Lonchura striata: one gene and its partner. The protein of the gene in region 1 purifies or fractionates together with the protein of each later gene. This does not show direct contact. Links are inferred from orthologs where the notes say so. Each region holds a gene or a part of one and is shown on either strand. Other genes may lie near its edges.

Region 1 (3,743 bases):
GCAGGGCTGTCCTGTGTCTCATGACTGATTGCTCTTGTGACAGGAATTTCTCAATTTCACCATGATCTGAAGCAGGACAGCCTGCATCCACCACCTGTTTATGATAATAAACGTGACCCTTCCCATATGAACCTGTGAGAGCACTGAGAGCAGGCACTATGTGCTGTGTGCTTTGGAAATACTGCAGAGCTTTGGAATCTTTGCAATGGGCTCCAAGTTACCTGAGCTCTGTGTTCAGCTGCTGATATCACTGAGCAGCAACTGCTCTGTGAGGAGCATTTTTAAAGACAATGGGTTTAAGAAAGGCAAGTGCCACCTACAAAAAAATCCCAGAATAGATTAATATACAGGTTTTGTCACTGACAGAGGTGTTCCCTCACCAAGCACGTTTTCTATGAGCAGACCACTGCACGTGTCTTAATAAAAGAAAATTTCAGTACAAAATGTAAAACAAAAACCCTGAAAGGATATACATACAAACACATAAGTGAAACCAGCATTGACCACAGCAGGAGCCTCGGATCCAGGCAGGCCCAGAGCTCCCTGCATTTATATAGCACATGTTATATCAATGGAAGTCCCAGAAAACAGCCACAAGCACAGCAGGCACCACACAAACTCTTGACTCTTCTCCAGCCAGCCGCAGCACTGGGAATTTCTTCTAGTCAACACTAACACACACATGTGTTTCCTGTAAGCATGTTTTCTATGAGCAGATCACTGCACATGTCTTAATAAACACAAAATACACCAAAGGATCGCTGATTTGAACTTTCACACAAATTTAGGAACATCAGATGCAAGGTACTACACAGATCTTCAGCCACAAGTGGAATGTAAGCCAGTACAAAGCCACAGCACTGGATGTCAGACTGGATTATTTTTAAAGTCACTTCTAACCCATTCTCTGAATATGAGACAGAAATTACAATGATCCAGTTTAAGTTGTAACACGAGCAAATCCAGCAGTGAAAAGACAGCTGTGTGAGCAGGCAGAATGACAAGACAGGCTTCTTTAAGGACAAAAAGGTAGGCTGGCCTCTGCTCTTTAATACCCTGAAGTTATCTGAACATCAGATTCCAGATAAATGTCACCCACGGGAAGGTGGCCAGTGAGCAAAGCATCACTAATCAGCACTGCTGCAGGTTTTTGCAGGAAGACTCTCACCTATGCACTAACTTCAGCTCACCGTGCCGGACAACAAAGGGGTACAAGCCCTCAGACAGTCACCTTGCTGTGGGGCAAGTCGCTACTTCAGAAAGCTACAACAGCCTTTTCAGGTTTTATTCAAAAAAGCACCACGATGCCTAAGCAGACACCCACAGGTTTCACACTCAATGTGTGAGATTATAGTGTGGGAACAACCCAGGGTCAGGTGCACTGAACACCAGACAGGAGGGGAAAAGGCTCACGAGGTAGAATCATTTGCCTTCTGCAGGGAAGGCAAAAAGACCTCCGAGAGTCACTTCGGAGCAATCCAGCAGCCAGCCGGGACAGCGAGGGATGGCCAGCACCCCCCAGAGCCCACGCCGAGCCCCCTCACCTGGTACTTGGGCGCGTTATTGCACTGGGGGAAGCTGCCGTTCACCTCCCCGTTATGCAGCAAGTTATTGTCCACCAGGTTCCAGCCCCAACTCTGGTCGTCGCTGCCCAGCAGGGCCACGTAGCCCTGGCACTGCATGGCCGCGCGCTTGGTGGCGATGCCGATGACGGCCACGGTGCCCAGCGGGCCCTCCCACCACACCTCCCAGGCGTGCCGGCCCTCGCTGAAGCCGATCTTGGTGCGCGCCCCGTCCGTGCTCTGCGCGATGGGGTTGCGGTGCAGCGTGAAGCCGTTCTTCTTGATGTACACGTTCCTCGAGCAGTCGTTGGTGCTGAAGGCGTGGTGGAAGGCACGGACCTGGGCGAGAGAAGGCGGGTGGGGGAGATGGACGGGGCTTGGAGCAGCCTGGTCTAGTGGGAGGTGTCCCTTCCAACCCAAACCATTGTGGCTCTAGGAGATAAAACCCTGCCATGGTCCCCGGCCTCCCGCCCCCTTCGTTTCCGATGGCGGGTGGGCCGGAGGGCTGCGGGGGCGGCGGTGGAGGGGTGTCCCGGCGGGGTGGGGGTCCCGGCCTCACCTTGCCCTTGTAGGTGGGCACGTTGCAGAGGATGTCGGTGCGCAGGGCCTCCTCGGCCAGGCAGCGGGCGGCCAGGCTGCGCCACACCTCGCTGTTCTCGTCGCCGTGCAGGACGCGGTGCCACAGCTTGCAGACCAGCGCGCAACTCCGCAGCTCCCGCAGCTCCAGGTACGAGAACACCAGCTCCAGCACCCGCCCCGGCAGCCGCCAGCCCGGCCCTCCCCACGACGCCGCGGCCGCCCCGGGGCCGGGCCCGGGGCCGGGCCCCGCCGCCATCGCCCCCCGCGCTGCCCTCGCCCGCCCGGTGTCGCCGGGGCCGCCCGAGGCCTCACGGCGCGGGGGCGCGCGGCGCCGCCATCTCGGCCGCGGGCACCGCCCCGCGCGTGCGCGGCGGGCGCGGGGGGCCGGCGCGGGGCGGCGGCGGCGCCGAGCGGAGCCGGGGGCGGCGAGCGGAGCGCGGCGGAGCGGAGCGGAGCGGAGGTGAGGGCGGAGGGTCCCGAGCCCCCCGGCGCGGCCCCGGCAGCGCCGCGCCCCGCGGGCCGGGGGGCGGCCGCAGGGCCGGGCCTGCCGCGGCGGGGGGCGGTCGGACCGAGCTGCCGCAGGGCTCGGGGTTGGCGGGGTACGACTCACCTGGGGCCACCGGGGACCGGCGGCCGCGAGTCTGCCCCGGTGCGAGCTGCGGGGAAGGTATCGGCCCTCTCCGTAGTGTTATTTGATCGCCAAGACCGAAGTTCCTCTGGTGGAATGAATGGGCTCTGGCTGCTCTTTAGATCTGGGTCAGCAAAAACCACACGGAGAACATAACGTGGTTAAATAAACGCACGGACCTTAGGGCAGCGAGGCGGCTGCTGGGCTGTCACACAAACCCCGTGTGCCTCTCTCTTTTTCTCCGCAGCGTCCCAGTCCCTCCAACACTTTCGTGCTGCCCTTTTTCGCTCTTCACTTAATTTTTTTGCTGATGCGTTTCCCTAAGCAGTGCTGTGACACAGGCTGCTGCGGGGAGTCACACCAAGGGAGGGTTAAGGTTGGTGAGCACATGGCTGTGTACTGAGACGCAATTAAATATGTTGCAACCTGTTTTAAAGGAGTAATACTGCTTTTAAAAAGTCTCATTGTGTTATCTAGGTTGGAAAAGACCGGTCAGCGCTCCCGCTGTGCCTGGTGCCGTTGGTATTTGTGCGAAAGCTCCACTTGGGTACTGAGCTGTCCTGAGCTGCCGAGGTGCCCGTTTTAACTGCACGCTGAAGTTTCAGGATGATCTTCCTGCTTATAATTTCTTCTGTCATGAGCTCAACAACCGCCTCAGTTCGGGGCTTGTTTTTGTGTGTTTCAGGGGTGTCCCTGAAGCATGGCAGTGAAGTGGGACGGTGGGCACTCCTCCTCTGTGCTGTGCCTGAACGTGAGCGCGGAAGGGCTGGTGGCCTCCGGCGCGGAGCGGGGCGAGCTGGCGCTCTGGGACGGGGAAGGCTCGCCGGTGGCTCAGCTGCGGCTCCCGCAGGCGGAGGACGTGACCTCGCTGGTGTTCTCCGCCCGCCGGCCCAGCACGCTGTACACGTCCCACGGAGAAACCATCAGCGTGCTGGATGTCCGCTCCCTGCAGGAGCCCCTGCAGCGCTTCCAGG
Region 2 (3,743 bases), on another chromosome or scaffold:
TCCTACTCAACACGTGATATTCATCCCTTCCAATGACAGCCAGTACAAACACCTTGCAAATGTGATACTAATCTTGTGACTTTCAGATAATCTCCACAATGTTTGATTTCCTTGTCTACACAAAAGCATTTTCATACTGCTTGCCAGTTCTTCATAAACATTAAAGTTAGGTTTGCCATAGAAGTACTTGCTGAGGCAGGCATTGGTCACAGCCCATGAAGTGCAGAGTATAATTCTGCAGACTTGAAGTAAAAATTCCACATCAATTTATGGCAAATAGGTTGCACTATCATTCTTCACATTAGTCTTCTTGGAACACAAGAAGAATTTTATTACTGTTGATCAGCCGATTTGTTTAGCTTTTTTCAGCTACTTCAAGTCATTTTTGTAGTCACAAACACTCTTATTGACAATCTTACTGCTTAAGAGGCTTCAGATTTTCCATATATATAAAAATCAAGTTAGGACTTCTGTCATAACCTAAGCTTAAGATGACTTCTGTTATCTTAAGCTCTATTTAATTATCTAGCACTGTTTTCTACCATAGCAACTAGATGCAGCCACAGTTCAATTTAAAGCTCTCCTTAGAAAATATTAGGAATTTGTACTAGTTTTGTAAAAAGGCATATTTTTTGACCATTTCTGTTTAAGTCATCCAGGCAGCTGAAGTATTTTGCAGTATTTTGACACCAATATGGAGAAAAGGTGGAGACCACAAGCAGTATCTTGGCTGCCATCAGTCTGCCACATAAGATAGCGGGGGCAGTGACAACAGGAAACTAGATAATTATTAAACCTCCCCTCAAAAGTCCAAGACACATCGGCTGTGTTCACCAGTATTAACTACCTGCCGTTACCTTGCCAAAGCTTAATATAACCTGTTTACTCTGTATGAGGAATCTGTCTTCTTTGACTTGACCTCAAAAACATTAAGAGAAGCATTAACATTTACACCCATGTAAACCTAGTATCTTCTACAATTTTAAGTATAAGGGATAGCAGTTGAATCATCCTGAAACCAAAAGACATGGAGGACACGACTAATGCAAAACTACAGCTTTAAAAAATAGACCCCTTTGGGCAAAATTCAGACAGGCACTTGAGCACTGAGGAGCAATTGCACAGGTGATTTCTTTGCATTTAGTTGTATCCTTACACTTAGCACTTGAAATCCCGGGACTAAATGATATGAAGCTCAAAAGCAGAAAGACATTTAATGAAAAAAAGTATTAAGCACTGGACTAAGAAATATGTGGAGTAAGAAAACACTTGCTGGTCTTCAGGGGGTAAAGAAGAACTATAGTTTCCCTATCATACACTGAAAAGAAGTCAGTAGTCGCAAAGATGTCAAGTACCCATGTTATCAGTCCACATTTCCAGCATTAACCATAAGCAAATGGGGAAAGGTATGTGTCTTATGTTAATGCCGTTCCTAGACACAGCTTTCTGGGGCGAGGGGGATGGGGGGTAAACCCTACTGTCAAGTCCGACAACAACCTGAAGAAGCCAAGCAGGCAACCTCCTCGTGCTTTACAACCCTTTGCAAACTTGAAACAACGGTGACTCAAAGCTCTCCATACGACCCGGCCACCCACATCACAGCCTGAGCAGCAGCCCAGGCTGAGAACACAGGAAGGTGCCGGTTTCGTATCATCCACATCCTCAGCGACCTTCGGAGGGAAACAATGGGGAGCGCCCGGGCACCACAGGGGAGCCCTTCACAGAGCGAGCCCGGGCGCCCCGCCACGGCCTGCGGGGCTGAGGGGGTCCGCCCGGGCAGGGCCGGGCTGCGGGGTAAGGGCGGTCTCCCCTCTCCCCCGCGGCTCCGCACCGCCGCAGCCCCCTCCCCGCCCGGGAGCAGGGCAGGGCGGCATTCCCGGCCGGAGGAGCAACAGGCACCCTGCGGCGGCCCCAGAGCCGGCTGGCAGGGCCGGGAAGGGGAGCCCTGAGTGGCATCATCGCCGGGGGAGGGCTGCTCGGGAACCAGGTGGGGCCACACCGCACCCCGCAACCCCCGGCTGCCCCCGGCAAGGCGCTGCCTCCGTCCAGACACCGAGGCCGCCTACACGGCGGTGGCAAAGGGGGAACATGACCTGAAGAGGGGGAGGAAAAATAAGGCAGGGTAGCTAAAGGCAGGCCCTGTACAGGGAAAAAGCGCCACGGTCCCTCACTCGGGCAACACGGCCAGCGGGAGACGCGGGTGCCCTGCGCAACCTGTCGCGGGAGAGACCACGGGATTCAGCCCGTTCCGGCAAGCCTGGCCGGAGCGAGGTCTGCCCGGGGTCCCAGCATGGGCAGTCTCCATCCGCCCGGGGTCCCAGCACTGGCATTCTCCATCACCCCGGGGAGCTGGGCCGCACACTGGGGCGGGCACAGGTAACTCTGCCCCGGAGGGCCCGGGAGAGGGGGCGGCAGCGCCATCTGCGCGGTATCGCCGGCCAGGCGAGCGGCGGGGCCCGGGCGGCACCTGGGCAGCCGCCGGGTTACATCACCGCCCCTTCCCTCCGTCCGTCCCCCGGGGCGCGGCGGCGCGGCCACATGGCAGGGGGGACACCCGCGCCGCCCGGCACGGGGGCGGGGAGGAGGATGAGGAGGGCGGCTGCCGGGAGGGAGGAAGGTGCAGGCGCCGGGCCGCTCCCAGCCGGCGATGGGAGGGGTCGCGGGGGCTGCACGTCTGGCGCGGCGCGGTGCGCGTTACCTGCCCGGGTGGCTCCCCAGCTCGCGATCGCTCAGCGCCGCCGTGTAAATCCTCCGGTATCTGTCGGCCAGGGCCTTCCCGGAGAGCAGCAGCTGGTAGCGGCTCCGGCAGCCCGGCGGCGGCGCGGGCAGGGCTCCCAGCCCGCCGGCCGAGCCCTCCTCGGGCCCCATAGCCGGGGCGGCGCCGCCGGAGGAGAAGGAGTAGCCGCGTTCGGCCCCGGTGCAGGCGGCGGCGGCTCCCGCAGAGGCGGCGGCGGCTGCGGCGCTGCTCATCCCCCTCCCCGCCCGCCCCCTGCTTGCGGAGGCGCCGCCTCCTGGCGCGGCGCGGACACAGGCGGCTCCCGCTGCCTTCACCGCCGGGGCCCGGCCATGGCGAGGCCGCAGGAGGCGCCGCAGGAGCCGCCCTTCAGGCTGCGCATCCACCCGCGATGCGGGAACACCCCGCTCTTCCCCTCCTCCAGCGGCGGCTCCAGGCCCCAGCTACCCGCCGCTCGCCTTCCGCTCCGGGCACAGCGCCCGCCGCCACCGAGTCCCGGGAAGGACCGTGCACCGCTGGGACTGGGGAGGGGGGGGCGGGCTGCTTGCTTCCCCCTTCCCGCTACAGGGAGTGTGTGTGTGGGGGCGGGGGGCGGAGGCCGGCGGTGCCGCTTCCCCTCCGGAGTTTGTGCTCGGCGCTGCCGCCGCCCTCTCCCCGCACGGCCGCCCCGGCCCCGCCTCCCTCCCGCGGGCAGCGCGGCCGCCGGGCGCATGCGCCGCCCCGCCCGCCCCGCGCGGCCCCCGGGAAATCCGGGATGGGCGGGCGGGAGCAGCACCTGCTGCGCGCGGCCGGGGCGCCGCGGGCCCGGAGCACCGGGCGCGGCCGGGGGACCAGCTCCCACCCCGCGGGGCCGGCCTCCCACCCCGCGGGACCGGCCTCCCACCCCGCGGGACCGGCCTCCCACCCCCGCGGGGCCGGCCTCCCACCCCCGCGGGCACGCCTCCCACCCCCGCGGGGCCGGCCTCCCACCCCGCGGGCACGCCCGAGCGAGGTCGGGCATTCGCACGGA

The links. Proteins that work in one complex are often made in the same cells at the same time.
Region 2: the proteins of FBXO45 (region 1) and MYCBP2 purify together in Homo sapiens (affinity purification with western blotting; 7 studies listed by BioGRID and IntAct, with this or other methods). This does not show direct contact. The link is inferred for Lonchura striata from reciprocal best matches to the Homo sapiens genes FBXO45 and MYCBP2.

What each region holds. Positions count from the first base shown.
Region 1 is NC_134612.1:5,268,151-5,271,893, reverse strand, and holds the start of FBXO45 (F-box/SPRY domain-containing protein 1), read right to left. Parts: upstream 2,398-3,743; coding exon 2,122-2,397; intron 1,902-2,121; coding exon 1,545-1,901; intron 1-1,544. Other genes in the region: WDR53 (WD repeat-containing protein 53), read left to right, coding at 3,470-3,743. UniProt on the Homo sapiens protein: Component of E3 ubiquitin ligase complex consisting of FBXO45, MYCBP2 and SKP1. Functions in substrate recognition but also plays an important role in assembly of the complex.
Region 2 is NC_134604.1:48,875,855-48,879,597, reverse strand, and holds the start of MYCBP2 (E3 ubiquitin-protein ligase MYCBP2), read right to left. Parts: upstream 2,984-3,743; 5' UTR 2,971-2,983; coding exon 2,699-2,970; intron 1-2,698. UniProt on the Homo sapiens protein: Atypical E3 ubiquitin-protein ligase which specifically mediates ubiquitination of threonine and serine residues on target proteins, instead of ubiquitinating lysine residues.